2 linked regions of the Diceros bicornis minor genome follow. The protein of the gene in region 1 binds, or shares a complex with, the protein of each later gene. Links are inferred from orthologs where the notes say so. Each region holds a gene or a part of one and is shown in the gene's direction. Other genes may lie near its edges. The genes, in order: KDM4A and histone H1.4.

Region 1 (11,203 bases):
ACCAAGACAAAAAACAACAAATGTTGGAGAGGATGTGGAGAAACAGGAACCCTCATACACAGCTGGTGGGAATGCAAATTGGTGCAGCCTCTATGGAAAACGGTATGGAGATTCCTCAAAGAATTAAAAATAGAGATGCCCTCTGATCCAGCCATCCCACTACTGGGAATCTATCCAACGCACCTGAAATCAACAATCTAAAGAGGCTTATGCACCCCTATGTTCATTGCAGCATTATTCACCATAGCCAAGAAGTGGAAGCAACCTAAGTGTCCCTCGACTGACGATTGGATTAAGAAAATGTGGTATATATATACAATGGAATACTACTCAGCCATAAAAAAAGACAAAATCGTCCCATTTGCAACAACATGGATGGGCCTGGAGCGTATTATGTTAAGTGAAATAAGCCAGAAAGAGAAAGACAAACACTGTATGATCTCACTCATATGTGGAATATAAACCAACACATGGACAGAGAAAACTGGACTGTGGTTACCCGGGAAGTGGGGGTGGGGGGTGGGCACAAGGGGTGAAGGGAGTCATATATGGGGTGATGGACAAACAAAAATGTACAACCCAAAATTTCACAATGTTAGAAACCATTAAAATATCAATAAAAATCAAAAAAAAAAAAAAAAATTGACAGGGCCGGCCCCGTGGCTTAGCGGTTAAGTGCGCGCGCTCCGCTGCTGGCGGCCCGGGTTCGGATCCCGGGCGCGCACGGACACACCGCTTCTCCGGCCATGCTGAGGCCGTGTCCCACATACAGCAACTAGAAGGATGTGCAGCTATGACATACAACTATCTACTGGGGCTTTGGGGGAAATAAATAAATAAAAATCTTTAAAAAAAAAATTTCACAAAAGATTTGAATAGATATTTCACCAAAGAGGATATATGAACAGCTAATAAGCATATAAAAAGATGCTCAACATCATTAGTCATTAGAGAAATGCAAGTTAAAACCTCAATGAGATACCACTTCACACCCACTAGAATGGCTATAATCAGAAAGATAGACAATAACAAATGTTGGCAAGGATGTGGAGAAAATGGGAACCCTCATATATTGTTGATGGGAATGTAAAATGGTACAGCCACTTTGGAAAACAGTTTGGCAGTTTCTTACAAAGATAAACATAAATTGACGACATGACACAGAAATTCCTCTCCTAATTATCTACCCAAGAGAAATGAAAACATACATTCACACAAAGACTTGCACATAAATGTTGATAGAAGCTCTATTCTTGGGCCGGCCCCGTGGCTTAGCGGTTAAGTGCGCGCGCTCCGCTGCTGGCGGCCCGGGTTCGGATCCCAGGCGCGCACCGACACACCGCTTCTCCGGCCATGCTGAGGCCGCGTCCCACATACAGCAACTAGAAGGATGTGCAACTATGACATACAACTATCTACTGGGGCTTTGGGGGGAAAAATAAATAAATAAATAAATTGTTAAAAAAAAAAAGAAGCCCTACTCATAATAGCCAAAAAGTGGAAACAACCCAAATGTCAATCAATACTACAAAGAGATACTATTCAACATTAAAAAGGAAGAAATACTGATGCATGCTACAACATGGATGAATCTCAAACAAAACAAAACAAAAAAAACATGCTAAGTGACAAAAGCCAGACACAAAAGACCACATATTGTATGGTTCTATTTATATGAAATGTCCAGAAAAGGCAGATCTGTGTAGACAGAAAGTAGATCAACAGTTGCCTGGGGCTGGGAGTGGGGACAGAGAGATTGTAACTGGGCACAAGCGATCTTATTGAGGGGGTAGATTTTATTGAGGTGATGGAAATGTTCTAAAACCGGATTGGGTGATGGTTGCCTGACTTGGTCAATTTTTAAATAATCTTTTTTTTTTTTTTTTTTTTTGTGAGGAAGATCAGCCCTGAGCTAACATCCATGCCAATCCTCCTCTTTTTGCTGAGGAAGACTGGCCCTGAGCTAACCTCTATTGCTGATCCTCCTCCTTTTTCTCCCCAAAGCCCCAGTAGATAGTTGTATGTCATAGCTGCACATCCTTCTAGTTGCTGTATGTGGGATGCGGCCTCAGCATAGCTGGAGAAGCGGTGCGTTGGTGTGCGCCCGGGATCCCAACCCGGGCCGCCAGTAGTGGACCACACGCACTTAATCGCTAAGCCACGGGGCTGGCCTCTAAAAATATCATTAAATTATACCCTTGAAATAGGCAGATTATATGGTATGCAAATTATATCTCAATAAAGTTGTTTTTATAAAAAGAAAAATGTTGATGACAACGTCAACAATCTTTGTGTATATAAAGCACTTAGCATAGTGTTTGGACATCGTAAGTGCTCAAATATAGTTAACTTTTTAAGCTAATAATATTGCCATTATTATTAGTGATGTAATGCTTACTATGTGCTAGGCGTTGTGCTGGGAGCTGGATAAAGGGAAGCTCCAGGGAAGAATCCTTGAGGTAGGACCATGGCAGGAACTGGATGCCATGATGACAGAGTTTCACGTCCAAATCCTACCGCCATTGCTAGCAAGTCCCTCTAAAAGGTGGGCAGATTCTGGGAGACGTTTTGCTGAGTCTGATACGAGGAACAGATGCTGCTGATACTGTCCCTTTTCTCCTCATCCCTGTGAATGTGGGCATGATGTCTGGGGCTGCAGCATTCACCTTACAACCGTGAGGTGCACATGTGAGGGCCAAACCCAGGTTGTGCGGCATGATGGAAAAAGATGGAAGGAGCCTGTGTCTTTGGTGCCTTTGTTGAGCACTGACCCAATGCCAATAAATGTCCCCCTTCAGACTTCTTATTACATGAGAAAAATAAGCTTATATTTGTTTCAGCCACTGTTGCTAGGGTTTTCTATCTCTGGCAATGGAACACATTCCTAAATACTACCGATAAGACCTAAGTGATACTCTTAAGAGACTTTTGCCTAGTGGAGGAAGATGCATATGTAATCAAACCTATGCACTTGTAAAACACTTACCTTGTGGAACTCCGTCTGGGGTGAGGTAATGGACCGCATCAAGGAGTCCGTAGTTGCATACTGGTTTCTGGCTTAGGTGACTGGGTGGATGCTGTCTCAATAATTGAGATAGGAAAAACCTAGAAGGTGGAGTTCACATGTGGGGCAAAAAGATTAGTTCTTTACTGGGCATGTGGGTTTTAGGTACTTTGGAGGACATGAAGGGGGAGGGATCCAGAGATAGGAGGATTTATAGATCCAACTCCGGGGAGAAGATTGTGCTGGAGTATAGAATGGATGTCATCAGTGTGTGCATATGAATGAAGTTTAAGAGTGAAAGTATATTGAGCTCTCATTTCAGGCTTTATGCGAAGTGCTTTGTATCAGTACCATCATCATCACCATCATCACCCTCCATCAACACAGCTAACAGTTACTGACCACTCATTACATGTCAATTCAACTTTTAAGTGCTTTACCTGCATTATCTCATTCAGTTCTTACAACCAAAACAGGGAAGTACTATTCCAATTTTAGTTATGAGATAACTGCGGATTAGAGAAATTAATTGCCCTCAAGTCATACTGCTAGTGGGTTGTGAAACCTGAAACACCTAAGGAGAGTTTGTAGAATGAAAGAAGAGGGCAAAGGACAGAGAGCCATGAGGACATCAACATGTTTTTTTTTCCTTTTTTTTTTTTAATTAAAATTAGGGGGCGGGCCCAGTGTCATAATGGTTAAGTTTATACGCTCCGCTTTGGCGTTCTGGGGTTCACCAGTTCAGGTCCCAGGTGCGGACCTATGCACCACTTATCAAGCTATGCTGTGGCAGCATCCCACATATAAAGTAGAGGAAGAAGAAGGGGCGGGCCTGGTGGCCAGCGGTTAAGTGAGCGTGCTCCACTTTGGCAGCCCGGCCAGGGTTCCCAGGTTCGTATCCCAGGCACGCACTGACGCACAGCAGCGACGCACCGCTCGTCACGCCAGACCGTGGCGGCGTCCCATATAAAGTAGAGGAAGATGGGCACAGATGTTAGCCCAGGGCCAATCTTCCTCAGCAAAAAAAGAGGAGGATTGGCAACACATGTTAGCTCAGGGCTGATCTTCCTCACCAAAAAAAACCCAAAAAAACCCCAAAAACCCAGAAACAAAGTAGAGGAAGATGGGCACGGATGTCAGCCCAGGGCCAATCTTCCTCAGCAAAAAGAGGAGGAGTAGCAACAGATGTTAGCTCAGGGCTAATCTTCCTCAGCAAAAAATAAAAATAAATTAATTCGTAATTTAATTTTAAACATACAATAAATATTATGCACAACTTACATGCTCATTGAATTTTTTTTTTTTTTTTTTTTTGGTAAGGAAGATCAGCCCTCAGCTAACATCCATGCCAATCCCCTCTTTTTGCTGAGGAAGACTGGCCCTGGGCTAACATCTGTGCCCATCTTCCTCCACTTTATATGGGATGCCGCTACAGCATGGCCTGACAAGCGGTGCACTGGTGCGCGCCTGGGATCTGAACCCGGGCCGCCAGCAGCAGAGTGCGTGCACTTAACTGCTACGCCACGGGGCCGGCCCCTCAATGAATTTTTACAATGTGAACACACCAGTGTAATAGCTACCATCCAGATTAAGAAACAGAACACTACCAACACCCCAGAAGCAGTCCTTATGCTGCCTCTGCCTCCCATCATTCCCTGTCCCCTACCCAAAGGTAACCACAACTTTGACCTCTTTCACCATAGATTAGTTTTGTTTTCAACATCAACATTTAAAGGGTGGGAAAGGAAAGATGAGCTTAAAAAGGTGACTGAGATAAACTGGTCAGAGAAATGGGAGGACATCAAGAGAACTTGACCTAGGCTCCACTATCACATGTACACATTAATTGGAAGCCAGTGATACAAAGTAGCAGCTATCTGGGAAAATCCTCTTTGGCAGCAATGGGAAATGTAGCAAGATCACATTCCTGGAGTAGTTGGTACTGACAGCAGTGCTGGTAACTGTATCCACGTCCAGGCAGTGAAGTCGTGAGGCGAGCTGCAGCATCTTGTGCTTGGCGGCAGCAGCAAGGACAGTGGTGGATGAATTCTATGGCATGATTTGGCATGGTTTTCCTCATTACATATCCTGCAAGTTGAATTCTTCAGACTCATAGCAATTTTGTGAGCCACTCAATATAAGCTATTATCTAATATATTACCTTACTAAAGGTCAAGAGAGAAAAACCTTATAATTATTGCGAAAGACTATGGTTGTCTACCCAACGGTCATTCCCTTGTCTTTTCTGAAACAGAAATCTGCTGGGTTTTGGGGGATGGGGTGGGGGGAGCATGTGCCCATCCCCAGGGGATAAATCCTGATTGGTCTACGTCCATACCATTCTATGTAACACCATCCTTTTTGCCAACACATATTAACTCTCATGTTCAAAACACTCCTGCAAGGCAAGTATTATTTTTTCCATTTTACTGATGGGAAAACCTAGGCTCAGAGGAGCGACTGGTGTTGAAGACATCTGACTCCATAACTCTTTCCAGTGCACTACACCATTACTCACTTATGGGTAATTTTGTACACTTTTTTTTTATTTTTTCCCCCAAAGCCCCAGTAGATAGTTGTATGACATAGCTGCACATCCTTCTAGTTGCTGTATGTGGGACGTGGCCTCAGCATGGCCGGAGAAGCGGCGCGTCGGTGCGCACCCGGGATCCGAACCCCGGCCGCCAGCAGCGGAGCGCGCGCACTTAACTGCTAGGCCACAGGCCGGCCCTGTACACTTTTTATGACTGGTTGTGGGTAGTCTACTTTTCTATTTGACCTATCAGTGTCCTGTATGCCTCCTTCCCCATCACCCTTGATAATCCAAGAGTTCCTTAAGGTGACTCACTACCTCTCAGGAACCGCTCCTAATGACTTCTAGGAACCCCCTCACCCTCTAGAAGTGGGTCTAATGACTCCCCGGATCTCCTCTCCCCGCCCCAAGAGCTGCTCCTAATGACCCCTAAATCCCCGCTCACTGAGGAACTGCTGTTTAACGACCCTAAGGACATCCCCCCTTAGGACCCGTCCTAATGACCCTCAGAGCTCCTTCCCCTTCAGGAACAGCTCCTTTCAAGAAATGTCCCGGTTTGCTGGCGAGTGAGGGGGTTCCCAGAACACAGGACTTTTAGTTTTAAAAACCGAAACAGTCCCGGGCAAACCGTGACAAGTTGGTCAGCTTATCAGGAACTCTTGACCGGGGAAGCTGCCCCTAAGGGCCCCCAGCGCACTTCCACCTTAGGCCAGGGCCCTACTCACCCCAAAAAGACTGTGCCCCAGCCTTTCGTCAGAAACCTCGTACAATAACCTCATCGCCCTTACCCTCGCCGGCCATCCCATTTCCAGGCACTCGCCTCTTTCAATCCTGATTAGCTATGGGCAGCCAGAAGCCCGCTTATGATTGGCCACTTCCGTGATTCAGCCGAGATGCTCAGTGGCCGCGGTCCCGAGTGGTACAGCATTTCCTCCTGGCAACAGCCCGAGCCGGCGCTCATAGGCTGAGAAGATTGATGTGCCCGGACTTCGGGGCGGTTTTAGCGCGTGCTCATTGGCTGTTGGAGGCTGATAGCGGCCCTCGGATTGGTTGAGTCTGTGGGCGCTATGCGGCTGCGCAGAGGCCGACTTGCGAGGAGGCGGGGCTTCGCCCTTAGCCGGGTGGAAAAGCAGTAGGATCGGCTAGTGGTGACAGCAGAAGCCGGGCCTTAGCCTTGCCGGGGCGGTGGGGTTTAGGTGAGAACCATAGAGTTTTGGAATCCTTTAGGTTTGTTGCTGCTATGGCCGTGACCGTGAGCTCCGGTGGGGGAGGGGCAGATGGGAGGAGCCTTCGGCGTGAGTGATAGGCATGGCCCTCAGCCAACGGGAGCAGGAGGTTCTAAAATGGGTCCTGACATTGGTCCTTTCCAATCTCTTATGGCCAATGGACGTCGGGAAGGGGGGCGGGTGTACTGGACCTTATTTTCTTCTTCCTGCGGCCGGGACCCACTCGCCTAGGCGGCGGGGCCGGGAGGAGCCCCGTGTGTCTGCGGTGAGGTTCGGGGGCCTTGGGAGTGGGGGGCTACCTTGGGAGCGATACCCGCGGGAGCGGCTGCGAGGGGCGGGGGTGGGAGCTCGAAGGGGCTGTTAGCAATAGCTACATTTATTGAGTGGTTAAGCACCGGGCCTAGTGCTTAGCGTTTCGCTTGCATCATCTGAGTTAATCACAGCAACCCTGCAGGGCAGGGAGGTCGGGATCCCCATATCACAGGTGGGGAAACTGAGACTCGGGCAATTCACACAGCCAAGGTCACACAGCTAATAAATGGCAGAGACCGGGTATGTATTCAGAGTTGTTTTGACTCCGGAGCCCGTGGTCTTAAACCACTAGGCTTTGTTGCTGGATGGGGGAAGGAAGGTGTCCGGGAACAGGAGGTTTCCCCAGGGAGTAGATTGGGGGAAGGGAATCCTAGGGTTGAAGAAAGGGAATGAGCAACCGAGGTGAGGACGAGGAAATCAGTTACTCACCAGTTACTGAGTGCCTACTTTGTGCCAGGCATTGTTCTAGGTTCTAGGCATACAAAAATGAATAAGGCCAGAGGCGAATGAAGCCCAATTAGGGGCTTCCAAGGCCCAGGTGAACACTCCCACTGTGTTCATCTGATTATATGTTTTTGTAAAATTTAGAAAAATAAGATATTTTGTATTCTTTTTTTTAAAAAAGAGGGTACTCAAAATTGAATAAGCTTCCAATTCCCTCACGCTTGAGTCTGCCCTTCCAAAGGATTTAGTCTAGGTGGAGATTATGATGTCGGCAGCGTAGTGTAATGGAAGGAGCACTAGTAGTGCATTACACGACTGTGGGCAAATTTCCTGGTATGTAAAGCAGAGATAACAGTATACCTGCCATGCAAAGTTTTGGCAAGGTGCATGAAAAGCGCGTGGCCAGGAACATGCTATTTTCGGTGAAGTGGAAGCCTGAGAGATGCGGATAGTGGTGCTGTTTTCTTTCCTACCTTATACAGTTTTGCTCCATGCTGCCTTCCCAGTCTGCTACTAGATTGCTGGTAGGTTGGAGGCAGTTTTCTCTTTTCTGAGCTCTCCAGCTCTCAAGGGGACTCTTGGAGGTGAACTGGCCTGGCTTTGGGGCCCAGATTGGGGGAATTCAGTAGAGGAAAGGACATACGGTTTTTGCTTCTAAACTGGCTCCTTTTAGCTGGTATGCTTGGTTCTTATTCAGTTGAAATAGTCTATTGTGTTACCAGACAATGGGGATGCACCCATTTAGCTGAAGGCCTCTTCTAAAAACAAAGTGTTTATACTTCACCCTCTCCAGTCAGTCAGGAAGTTTGCCCTGGATTGCCAGTTTATTGCCTGTTTCAGTTTTCTCCTTGGAGTTCTGGGTACAGTGCCATTGAATTAGTCTGTAGCTTGACTTCATGAGGTACTGCTGAGACTGCCTTTTGGTTTAGCCGTGAGAACAATTTCGCTTGAGGGTTTTAAAAATCATGGCTCATGCTACTAATATCAGAGTACTTATTAACCCTTAAACTGTGTAATCTTGTAGCCAAGTAACTTTTCTTAGGGAGTCTAGAATCCTGTTTTAAAGCTGTGCCCTAGAAGGGAGTCCGTAGGTTGCTTTGTAAAATCTGGTTGTAGTATATTATGTTTAATACTCTGAGAAGCAATTAGCAAGGTGTGAATAGGGAGCAACTTGAAAAGATAAGGGTAAAATATGGGCAGGGCAGCTGTATTGTTAGATAGGGCCAACAACCAAATAATTAGTTTCCCTTTGTTAGCTGAAACAGTGTCTCCAATTAAATGAGATATGAATACATGAAATTTTGGTACATCAGGTTCTTTTGAACAGAGCCTTTCCTATCTGTATTTCTTGTTCATTTAAATAACTTATCTAGAGGCAGATTCCAGGTATGAGGATTTAATGCTGCTTCAGAACTTCTACATCATCTACTATTTTCAGCACTGACATTCCCAGCATTTAGCTTTAGTTACATTTTATATAATTTTATGTTCTTAATGTGTTTCTTCAGATTGCTCTCTGACCAAGTGACCTCAAAAAAGAGGGAAAATGGCTTCTGAATCTGAAACCCTGAATCCTAGTGCTCGAATAATGACTTTTTATCCAACCATGGAGGAGTTCCGGAATTTCAGCCGATACATTGCCTACATTGAATCTCAAGGAGCTCATCGGGCTGGGCTTGCCAAGGTGAGGGGTGGGACCATTCAGCAGGGCTGTTGTGACAGAGGGTAGCAGTAAGACTTTTCCTAAATGAAGGGTGGAAGCACTGAACCTTACTGAAAGCCAGGCAGGGTGATCAGTTAAGTGTATGCTGTCCTATTTGCAAGTTAATTCCTTTCGTTAACATCTGAAGCATCTCTCTTTTAGGTGGGAGGAGAACTGCTTGGGATCTTGAAAAGGAAGGTGAAGAGCCAGTGTCTCAGGGTCAGCTGCTGTGGTGCTTCCATCCTCGTGGTGGGGATGGAGGCTGTAGTGTTTTGTTTTGTTTTTTAAATCTTTTACACATGTTGATTTTTTTTTTTTACTATTTGTACAAGAGTTGTGATTTTATTCTCTTTTTATTTTCTTATTTTTCTTTTTGCTGAGGAAGACTGGCCCTGGGCTAACATCCGTGCCCATCTTCCTCTACTTTATATGGGACGCCGCCACAGCATGGCCTGACAAGCAGAGCGTCAGTGCGCTCCCAGGATCCGAACCTGCGAACCCTGAGCCACAGAAGCAGAGCCCGCGCACTTAACCGCTCCGCCACCGGGCCTGCCCGGCTTTAGTATTTTCATCTGTGACCAAGTGCTTATGCCATCCAGCTTCTCTTGTTTTCCTTTCGGTCTCAGCCAGCACTCTGATAGTAATTTGGCTTCCCATGTGGACTTTCTGTTAGATTGCGAGAGAATCATCTCTTCAGCCTCCTCTCTTGATGCCCAGATAAGATACGAGGCTGAGAACAAGTCTTACTCACCTGAGGTCATTGCAACTAGGCAGCTAGTCGGTGGCAGAACTGGATCAGTGTGACTTGCTGAGTCTGGGTGAACGTGGTTCAATCAAGTAACTTGGGTAAAATTGACTGTGAGGTTGGATAGCAGCCTACACGCTTCTGCACGCTGCCTGGCTTGCCGTTTCTGATCTGTCTCTTTGTTTCTTGTGTTTCTTACAGGTTGTTCCTCCAAAGGAGTGGAAGCCACGAGTGTCCTATGATGATATTGATGATCTGGTCATTCCTGCTCCCATCCAACAGCTGGTGACTGGGCAGTCTGGCCTCTTTACTCAGTACAACATACAGAAGAAAGCCATGACTGTTCGAGAGTTCCGCAAGATAGCCAACAGTGATAAGTGAGTGGAAACACGTTTCTTCCTTTTACCTGTCACAGCGTCTAGTACCTAACGTCTCGTCCTCACAGCTGTCTCCAAAACCACACTGTCCTACTGAAGAACAGTTTCCCACCTCTATCTTCTGTCTCCCTTTCTGACCTTTCTATTTTCATTTCCTCCTCTCAGTACTGTGTCACAGTCTAAATTTGTCCATATTCTTACGTAAAGTAATCCCATTGTTTTTCCATCAAAAGTAGAATCATTTTCTGACTCTGATAAGTTGCAAAGGAGAAGGTTGGAGTTGGTTCAAAAGGAGCTTTCGCCAGATGTATTGATACCACTTGCTTCTCAGAAAGTGGCCTTAGCAGTTTACATTAATCTCTTCCTTCTGTCTTTAATCATCCTCAGACTCCTCACTACCCATCAAGCTGCTATCTCGTTTCCTTTTTGACATTAACAAAGTGTGGATAAACTACCAAGCTGGTTGCTGTTCTCTATCACTCCATTCTTCCTCATCTGTACCTGCTTGTCTCTGTTAGAAGTGTCTTTTGTTTAGGCCTGCTGTTTTCAGTTGTCTTTCTCTGCTGTTTTTAATACTCAGCTCTCATTTGACTTCAGGTTTACAGAGCGTGAATTTCATGTTTCCCTCATCGGCTCTGACTGCTCCTTCTTAATCCTCTTCCTTGGATCTTCTCCCTTGCCATGTTACTCCTTAATTCTGAGTTTCCACAAGGGATTCCTCCCTTTTCCCTTGCTGTTTTTTCTGAGCCGTTTTGATCTACACACGTCTTGATTTCAGCCAGTCAGACATGCTGTGTCTTCCCTGTGAATGAGCCCGGAGCTGGATCTTGAGCTTGTCAGTCTTCACTTTTGGGGGCGTG
Region 2 (8,915 bases), on another chromosome or scaffold:
ACTATGAAGAACTTATGTCACATTTAGGTGTATTTTTCCCTTCTATGAAAAGTGTTATAACATTGTGGGATACAAAGAGAAACTTATTTTTTTTAGAAAACTTTTTTCTTTTGAACCAATTATAGATTTATGAAAGTTGCAATAATAGTACAAAAAGTTCCCTTATAAAGTTCCCTCAACTGGCTTCCCCCAATGTTAATGTCTTACATAACCATTATACAATTATAAAGAACAAGAAATGGACATTGGTACAATATTATTAACTAAACTTTAAACTTTATTCAAATTTTACAAATTTTTCCACCAATGTCTTTTTTCTAGTCCAGGATCTTATTCAGGATCCCACATTGCATTTACTTATTGTTTCTCCTTAATCTCTTTCAGTCTATAATAGTTCTTTAGTCTGTCCTGGTCTTTCATGACCTTCACACTTTTGAAAAGTACTGATCAGTTAAACAATATTCCTCCATTTGAATTTGTCTGATGTTTTCTCACTGTTGGAATGAGTTTATGTATTTTTGCCAGAAAATATGACAAAAATGATGAAGTGTCCTTTTAAGTGCAAGGAGTTCATGATGTTATATCTCATTACTTGTGATGTTACCTTGCTCACTTAGTTAAGGAGGGGTCTGCTGGGTTTCTCCACTGTAAAGTTATTACCTTTCCCTTTGTAGTTGATAGATATCTTGGGGAGGATACCTTGAGACTATGTGAATCCTGCTTCTCCTTAAAATTTCACCCAATAATTTTAGCATCCATCTATGAATTTTATCTGCAATAAGAAAGAGTTGTCCTTTCTCCTTATGTATTTATTTATGGATATATATTTTATTCTATGAGTTAAATGCTGTATTATCAGTTTTTTTTATTTTGTTGCCAAATGGTTCCAGCTTTGGCTACTGGTAGCTCCTTGAGACTGGGTTGCATGTTTTTTCAACGTTTCCATCTTTTTTAAAATGTTTTATTTTCTGGCACCACAAGATGTTCCAGGCCCATCTGATATTTTCCCTGCTCCAGCCTTGGAATCAACTACCTCTCCAAGGAGCCCTAGTTCCTTTTATTGGAGAATGATGGTTAAAAACCAAAGATTGTGTGTGGGATGTGCTAATTGCTCCTGGGATGTCACTGCTTGTAAGTCCTTGCAGCTGAGCGAGCAAAGAAATATATGTGTAGGTGCCGGCCCCGTGGCTTAGCGGTTAAGTGCGCGGGCTCTGCTACTCGCAGCCGGGTTCGGATCCCAGGCGCCCACCGACACACTGCTTGTCCAGCCCTGCTGAGGCCGCGTCCCATATACAGCAGCTAGAAGGATGTGCAACTATGACATACAACTATCTACTGGGGCTTTGGGGGAAAGGAAAAAGGAGGAGGATTGGCAATAGATGTTAGCTCAGAGTTGGTCTTCCTCAGCAAAAAGAGGAGGATTAGCATGGATGTTAGCTCATGTTTGATCTTCCTCACAAAAAAAAAAAAGAAATATATGTGTAATTAACCCACACATACACACACACATCTTTGTTTCTGTATCTATATAATTGTAGATATATTTTACAATTTGAACTTATATTAATACTTCTGATTCTAATCTAGCACCACAAGGTTCATTTTAGCCAAATACTTCTTTTTCCACCAGTGAGAACACTGGATCTCACTTTCTGCAACATATTTACTTCTTTGTTCAATTCTAGTAGATACATAAGTAGTTTCAGAATTATTAATCTATATCCCAGAGAAAAATATTTTTATTAGATTATGGCCTTTATATATAGTTACTTTGCCTTTAGCCTTACAGTATCCAATCAAGATATTATCTTCCACAGTTACTTAAGTTAATTTTTATCTTATTCAATTCCTTCGGTGTCATTGTTGTTAATTTAATACAGTTTGGTTAATTTATTAGTGATTGTATTCCATTTTGGGTATATGTTCCCATCCCTATCGCTCTTTTCTTTTTGCTTGAGGAAGATTGTCCCTGAGCTAACACCTGTGATAGTCTTCCTCTATTTTGTATGTGGGATGCCACCGCAGCATGGCTTGATGTGTGGTGTGTATCTCTGCGCCAAGGATCTGAACCCTCGAACCCTGGGCTGCAGAAGTGGAGCACAAGAACTTAACCACTTCGCCACTGGACCAGCCCCCGATAAGTATTGCTTTTAATAGTTTGTTTATTTTGCTAGTATGTGAAACATTACTGTAGTTGTAAGAGTCAGAGTTATACAAAAAGACAGACTCAGGAAACTGTCACTCCCTCCTCATCCCTGCTACTCTGCTCCCATTCCTGCCTTCTTTCCATTCCTTTCTAACCTACCCCCCATGGATAACCAATCTCGTTCATTTTTGGTTTATCCTTCCGGTATATCTTTTGCACAAATGAGCAGAAAAATGTGTTTTCTTATATACTCTTCTTTCACTTACGGAGGATATCATACTATGGATAGTCTTTTGCACTTGGCTTTTTCACTTAATCCTATATCCCTGAGTTTGCTCCTGATTAGTTCATAGAGATCTTCTTCATTCATTGTTGTAGCTGATATTACTCAACTATGCATATGTGCCCTAGTTTATTCAGCCCCTCTCTTACATGTGGATATTAAAATGCTTTCCAATATTTTACAGTTCCAAACAACGCTACAATGAATAACCTGGGCTATGCAACCCTGCAACCCACAGTGTTCATTGTAAAATTAAACAAAAGAAATAACAATTTCTAAGAAAATATATAGCCCTTTTTAAGAAAAGTTTTCCAGAAATGCTCTACATCAAAAGCCAAGATACAGTGCCTATTAAGAGTCCACAAAGGGAAGTTTGTCTCAACATATAGAGTTCTGCAGGTCGTCTTCAGAGTGTCGCTGTGTCTGTGCTTATATAGCACACCTCGTATGAGGGAGCTGGGGAGGTGCTAATTTGTCTAGCAAAAAACACCTTTTCCCCAAGCTCTGTCTTCAATAAAACTATCAGGGTAACATATTAAAATAGCAAAGTCCAGAATCAAGTGCTTGGAGCCCAGAGTTGTGGAGTAGAAGGAACCAAGTACAAGCCTCTCTTTTCTTTCAGTTTTTCTACAAATCACATTGTTCCTCTTAGCTTAGTTGCTATCAGGTCCAAAATAGAAATGTTTACAGAGTGCTCCCTACTTTCCATCAGTCGGAGTTCTATAGAGGCTTAAAAAAAAAGTCAAAAATAGGAAATTATTTTTTTAGCTCATTAGAGATTAATAAACTTAAGAATATTTTATAACTACAAAAGTTCAAGAAATTGCATGAGGAAGACTCCTCCACTCTGGCCACATTAGCCTGTACAGAGACAAATACATTTTACACAGGGCCATCCAGCACACAGTCAAGGAGCTGTGTAGATAACTGAAACTACATGCATTGAGCTCTGGTATTTTATATTCTACTCTAGTTTGTTAACAAAGAAACATTTTAGCCTTGTGCTACTATATTGATTTCACCACCTTTAATGATCATTCAGACCTGTAGTATGAAAAACACTGTTTTTAAGAGCACATGCTTTGAAATCAGACAGATGTGAGCTGGAACCCAGGATGCACCTCTTACCAGCAGTCTTCTCAGGAGAATTTCTCAACCCGTGAAAGCCCATTTCCTCCTATGTAAAATGGGGGTGCTATCTATAGCGCGGATTGTTGCATTGACTAAGAATGCAGGTAGCACACAGTACAGTAGTCAATAAATGGAAAGGGTAACTTTTATTAAGAATGATAAAATGGGACAAGAAGTGGAGATGCTGTACTAGGGAATTCTGGTAGTCCACAGGCAATCAGTCCAGACCACCCTCTGTGGATGGAAAATAATGAAGCAGAAGATCCTTTACCGTTACTCTCCCTTCTCTTTCTTGAACCCACTCTAGTGCCCAGTCAGGTGTTAATCCAAGGAAGTCAGGATTGGATTCCTGCTGCCCCCATCCTCCCAACCTGTGGTCATATCCAGCACGGACTTCTTTTCGAAGATCTTGAAGGCAAGTCCAGAAATCCACAGGAACACTCAGATCACAGGAAACACTTTTGACCTGTCAATCACCTCCAGTGAGCGTGGCAGTGGTTCCCACACTTGGCTGGGCATCAGGAGAATCTGAAGAAGTTGTGAAATATTCAGATTCTGAGACCCACTGAAGTCGTTGGTTCAGAAGCATCTAGAACAAGACTTTGGAATCTATATTTAAAACACATGCACAGCACACACACACACAGTTCTGATATAGCTGACAGATCAACAGGAAAATGGAGTCCTTTGGTGTTACTCTTATTTCAAATAAATGCTTGATTTAACAGTGGAAGATCCTCAATATCTTCAAATTTGTCACATTTATAAGAAAACACACTGTACCATGGGAGATGAACATAGGTGAGTTGAAAGATCACAGGATTTGGAGAGTTTACGTCCCTCCAAGTCAGAAGTAGTAAGGAACACATAGAATAGAGTAAGGCATTTGAGAGAAAACTTCAATGTGTTGTGCAAATTTCAGCTAGCTGTGAGAGTGGTTTGTTTGTTACTGAAAGTGAGTATAACCCCACTGTTCTGGGATCAATTGACCGTAAAATCGGTTTCCCTAGTAACTATCAATTGGTTGGTTTTGGAACCTTATCCCCTCCCTTTTTATTTTAAACTATACCAAAGGGCACATTTATTTTTCACTAGCATGCAAGAATTACATTGAAAATGTTTACATGTTAGGGCTTAAAATATATTGATAATCTACATCACTTTTATACTGGATTCAACATTAATTTAAATAAGACTATTTTGAAACATTGCAACATGTATCAAAGATCTGTATTCTCTTTTATTTCAGTAGTAGTAGGGTCGGTCTGTTGAGTGTAGAGAAGATTTGGGGCAATGGAACTAAAAATTGATGTGATGTTCAATGCTATGTTACAACCAGCCACACTTGCAGAATAGTATCATATCACCTTATAGCACTGACCAAAATTTTATTTTGTCTGTCAAGTACATGCCTTGCAGTTTTTAAAGACAATTCTATCCAGACCATTTTCCAGGAATAGTTCTTTTAGTTGGGTTTGCATTGCCAAGATGTACTCTTTGTTGATTGGGTAACTGCCTAAACAAATCCATTAGTTCAGAGACCTTGCAAAGGATGTCTTCAGAGGGCAATAACTTAACTTGGATAGTCCATCAAAGCTCTGCTTCTGAGATGGAAATTTGAACTTGTCATTCAATCATACATGTAACTCATTTTCTTTTTTATGGAGCTCCGGGAAGCATAGAGCCATAATCTTCATGATTGAAGCCATATTTGGTGTGTAGACTAGTCATTCATCAGCTATTCAGTAATAACAGGGTCTGGGGTTCTCTAGTAATGGAAATAGGTATGTTATAATCTACACTTCTCATTTATTTCCCTTTACTATCGATGCTTGAATTTCAATTCTAGCTAGTATATTACAATCTGATCCTGAAACACATATCGAAAGAATTCAGCAAGACTGCAGACAAATTCTTCAAAGAGCACCTCCACTTCCAGTGACTTTATGGACATCATCTGCGTGTTATTTGAAAATTAATCTTTTTCCATCTTGTACCCTATGTGTTGGACTCCCCTTCCTTCCCAGATATCCTGAATTCAAGTTATCTAAACTCATGAAGCAGTTGTCCAGAGGAAGAGAAGCAACAGCCCCGCCCCCAACCCTTGGGAGCAGAAAGGAAAAGAATTATCCTAAGGAATTGTTAAAAATCCCAGATGCAGCAGACAGAAACAAACCATGGCTGTATAGGTTGATGTCCCAGGGGTCTAAAATTTAACCCCACATGGGCAATAATTTGTTTGGCATTAAACTAAACCAGTTTGATGAACTCAAATGCCCTCGGCTCAATAGGCAGGACTCTCCGAGGAGCCTGTGTTACTTCCCTCACTTAAGCGCAGATTTGTAATAAAAATCTTAATGCCAGTGGCATGGTTTTTGGACATATAAGAAGCTAACAACTTGCAGAATCATATTTGAGAGGTCAGAAAACTCCACAGTCAAAGGTCGATTTATAATTTGCGAAGAAAATAGAAAGTTTTGTTTCTCTCAGTTGAAATTTGGCGAGGACGGCGAGAAATATTGCTGGTTTTTGGCATAAGGTTTTGTGCTTTCCTCATAATTTGAGACCTGCGTGAAGCCTGAGGCTTCGGGGATCATTTTTTGAGAAAAATCAGGCAATTCGGTGTAGAGAATTTTGATATTTTTGACATTTTTTGAGGTGTAACAAACACAACTCGGGATCCGAGAGGACACTCTGCGGCTGCCAGCTAGGCGGGCTGGACAGCGCACCAATCACGGCGCAGCTCCGCCCTATATAAACGGGCGGGCGCAGCGCCGCGGCCCGAGTCCCGGCCAGTGTCTCTGCTTCCGGCTCGAATTGCTCTCTCCAAACCCGCCTTCAATATGTCTGAGACTGCGCCCGCCGCGCCCGCTGCTCCGGCCCCTGCCGAAAAAACGCCAGTGAAGAAAAAAGCCCGCAAGGCGGCAGGTGCCGGGAAGCGCAAAGCGTCGGGACCCCCAGTGTCCGAGCTCATCACCAAGGCTGTCGCTGCCTCTAAAGAGCGCAGTGGCGTGTCCCTGGCTGCGCTCAAGAAGGCGCTGGCGGCCGCTGGTTACGACGTGGAGAAGAACAACAGTCGCATCAAGTTGGGTCTGAAGAGCCTGGTGAGCAAGGGCACGCTGGTGCAGACCAAGGGCACTGGTGCGTCGGGTTCTTTTAAGCTCAACAAGAAGGCAGCCACTGGCGAAGCTAAGCCCAAGGCCAAGAAGGCGGGCGCGGCCAAGCCCAAGAAGCCTGCGGGAGCGGCTAAGAAGCCCAAGAAGACCACGGGGGCGGCCACCCCAAAGAAGAGCGCTAAAAAGACCCCAAAGAAGGCGAAGAAGCCTGCTGCGGCTGCGGGAGCCAAAAAGGCAAAGAGCCCCAAAAAGGCTAAAGCAGCCAGGCCCAAGAAGGCGCCCAAAAGCCCAGCGAAGGCCAAAGCGGTGAAACCCAAGGCGGCTAAACCAAAGACCGCCAAACCGAAGGCAGCCAAGCCAAAGAAGGCGGCAGCCAAGAAAAAGTAAGAAGTTTCCTTGGCCAACTGCTTGTGAGCTCAACACAACCCAAAGGCTCTTTTCAGAGCCACCCACAGATATCACATAAAGAGCTGTGGCACTTTTTAAAGGGGGCGTGGCTGTAAGCCCTGAAGCACGGGGCGGGCCCCCAGGGATGTGGTATGGGTTGCAGTAGTGAGTAATATCGTCCTCCGGTTGAACACGCCTGTGTCCTCGGAGAACTGCTGACTGAGGCCTGAGCGGGATAGGGGTGCCGGGTTTGAGTACCTGTCCATTGTCTCCAGAGCTCGGAGAGAAAATTCTGCAAATATTAGGAGTACGCCGGTTGTAAGTAGGTAGCTCGTAACACCCACCCCTGACCCCCACCTAGGATGCCATATGAAAGACCACAGATTTGGGGGCGAAAGTGATATTTCAAGTGTTGTTGCAGGACCTATGTTATGTAGGTGTTGGGAGATTGTAATGTTTCACCCAAAATTATCAGATGCACTCAGCATTTACCTATTGCGTTAAAGATTTACCGTTGTATGGGACACTTGCGTTCAGAACAAACCAAAAGGTAAAATTGGCAGATTTGGGCGAAGACGTTCCCGAATATTTTAACCATAATGGTTTATGGTAAAACAAGTTCGCAGGGTTTTTGGTAGAGAAAGATAAGGGAATGCAAACTTGAAAGGGTCACGCAGTCCAGCGTTATTGCTGAGCTTCTAGTGGTTGGGATTTGGTTAGCTGCTGCGGGGATAATGAGCTACTCAACAACCGCTGGCCCACCAGCTCTAGCAGCTAGGACATCAGCACAGCCACTAGGTGTCACTGGCGTGGGGCCCGGACCCAATGCACAAAGTTATTCTGGCGAGCACGGAGTTGCTTCCACTCACAAACCTAAAACTGGCCTCTTCGAAATAAAAGTTCCATCTCTTCGAGATGTACAGCCCCGTCGCTTGAAGAGGCCATTTATAGTAGCTTTGGGTAGCCTAGTATAGGCCTTCTGATTGGGTCGAAGCAAAGTAACCAAATAGCCAATGAAAAGGTAGACGTGCAACTATCATTTACATTCGTATTTGTGACGACACTAAAATTAATCCAATCATGAGCGAAATCTTACTAACCTAATTTGAATACCGCATCTATAAATAAATGTGGCCTCGCTGGGGGTGACTATTTTCCCAGGTGTTAGCGATAGTGTTGTGATTTTTTAACGTTACAATGCCTGAACCTACCAAGTCTGCTCCAGCCCCGAAAAAGGGCTCCAAGAAGGCGGTGACCAAGGCGCAGAAGAAAGACGGCAAGAAGCGCAAGCGCAGCCGCAAGGAGAGCTACTCCGTGTACGTGTACAAGGTGCTGAAGCAGGTTCACCCCGACACCGGCATCTCGTCCAAGGCCATGGGCATCATGAACTCGTTCGTCAACGACATCTTCGAGCGCATCGCGGGCGAGGCGTCGCGCCTGGCGCATTACAACAAGCGCTCGACCATCACGTCCAGGGAGATCCAGACGGCCGTGCGCCTGCTGCTGCCTGGGGAGCTGGCCAAGCACGCCGTGTCCGAGGGCACCAAGGCCGTCACCAAGTACACCAGCTCCAAGTAAACTTGTCAAGTAAGCGTCTTTACATCTAACCCCAAAGGCTCTTTTAAGAGCCACGCATGCTTTCAACAAGTGAGTTGTAATCCTTTTATTCCAAAGGCTATTCTCGGATTTCTCATACCAAATTTAAACCTATGCTACCGTTTTTGAATGCTGTATTACAGCTGCGTAGGAAATACTTGTAGGGTACCTAGACAATAACAAAACATAAATTGCGCGCTCATTATGGGCAAATAGAATTCCATAAAGCTATTCATCATTTACTGTCGCATAACTA

The links.
Region 2: the proteins of KDM4A (region 1) and histone H1.4 are in contact, whole or in part, in a crystal structure (PDB 6H8P), measured with the Homo sapiens proteins. The link is inferred for Diceros bicornis minor from reciprocal best matches to the Homo sapiens genes KDM4A and H1-4. Residues at the interface, in NP_055478.2 of Homo sapiens: Ile71, Asn86, Ala134, Asp135, Asn137, Thr167, Ile168, Glu169, Gly170, Val171, Tyr175, Tyr177, Glu190, Asp191, Ser196, His240, Lys241, Ser288, Thr289, Asn290, Asp311, Met312, Val313; in NP_005312.1 of Homo sapiens: Ala24, Arg25, Lys26, Ser27, Ala28, Gly29.

Annotation. Positions count from the first base shown.
Region 1 is NC_080752.1:6,560,851-6,572,053, forward strand, and holds the start of KDM4A (lysine-specific demethylase 4A), read left to right. Parts: upstream 1-6,641; 5' UTR 6,642-6,733; exon of another isoform or gene 6,734-6,764; intron 6,765-7,005; exon of another isoform or gene 7,006-7,028; intron 7,029-9,027; 5' UTR 9,028-9,065; coding exon 9,066-9,203; intron 9,204-10,167; coding exon 10,168-10,343; intron 10,344-11,203. UniProt on the Homo sapiens protein: Histone demethylase that specifically demethylates 'Lys-9' and 'Lys-36' residues of histone H3, thereby playing a central role in histone code. Does not demethylate histone H3 'Lys-4', H3 'Lys-27' nor H4 'Lys-20'.
Region 2 is NC_080753.1:42,163,439-42,172,353, reverse strand, and holds histone H1.4, read left to right. Parts: upstream 1-6,354; 5' UTR 6,355-6,403; coding exon 6,404-7,063; 3' UTR 7,064-7,146; downstream 7,147-8,915. Other genes in the region: histone H2B type 1-M, read left to right, coding at 8,261-8,641. UniProt on the Homo sapiens protein: Histone H1 protein binds to linker DNA between nucleosomes forming the macromolecular structure known as the chromatin fiber. Histones H1 are necessary for the condensation of nucleosome chains into higher-order structured fibers.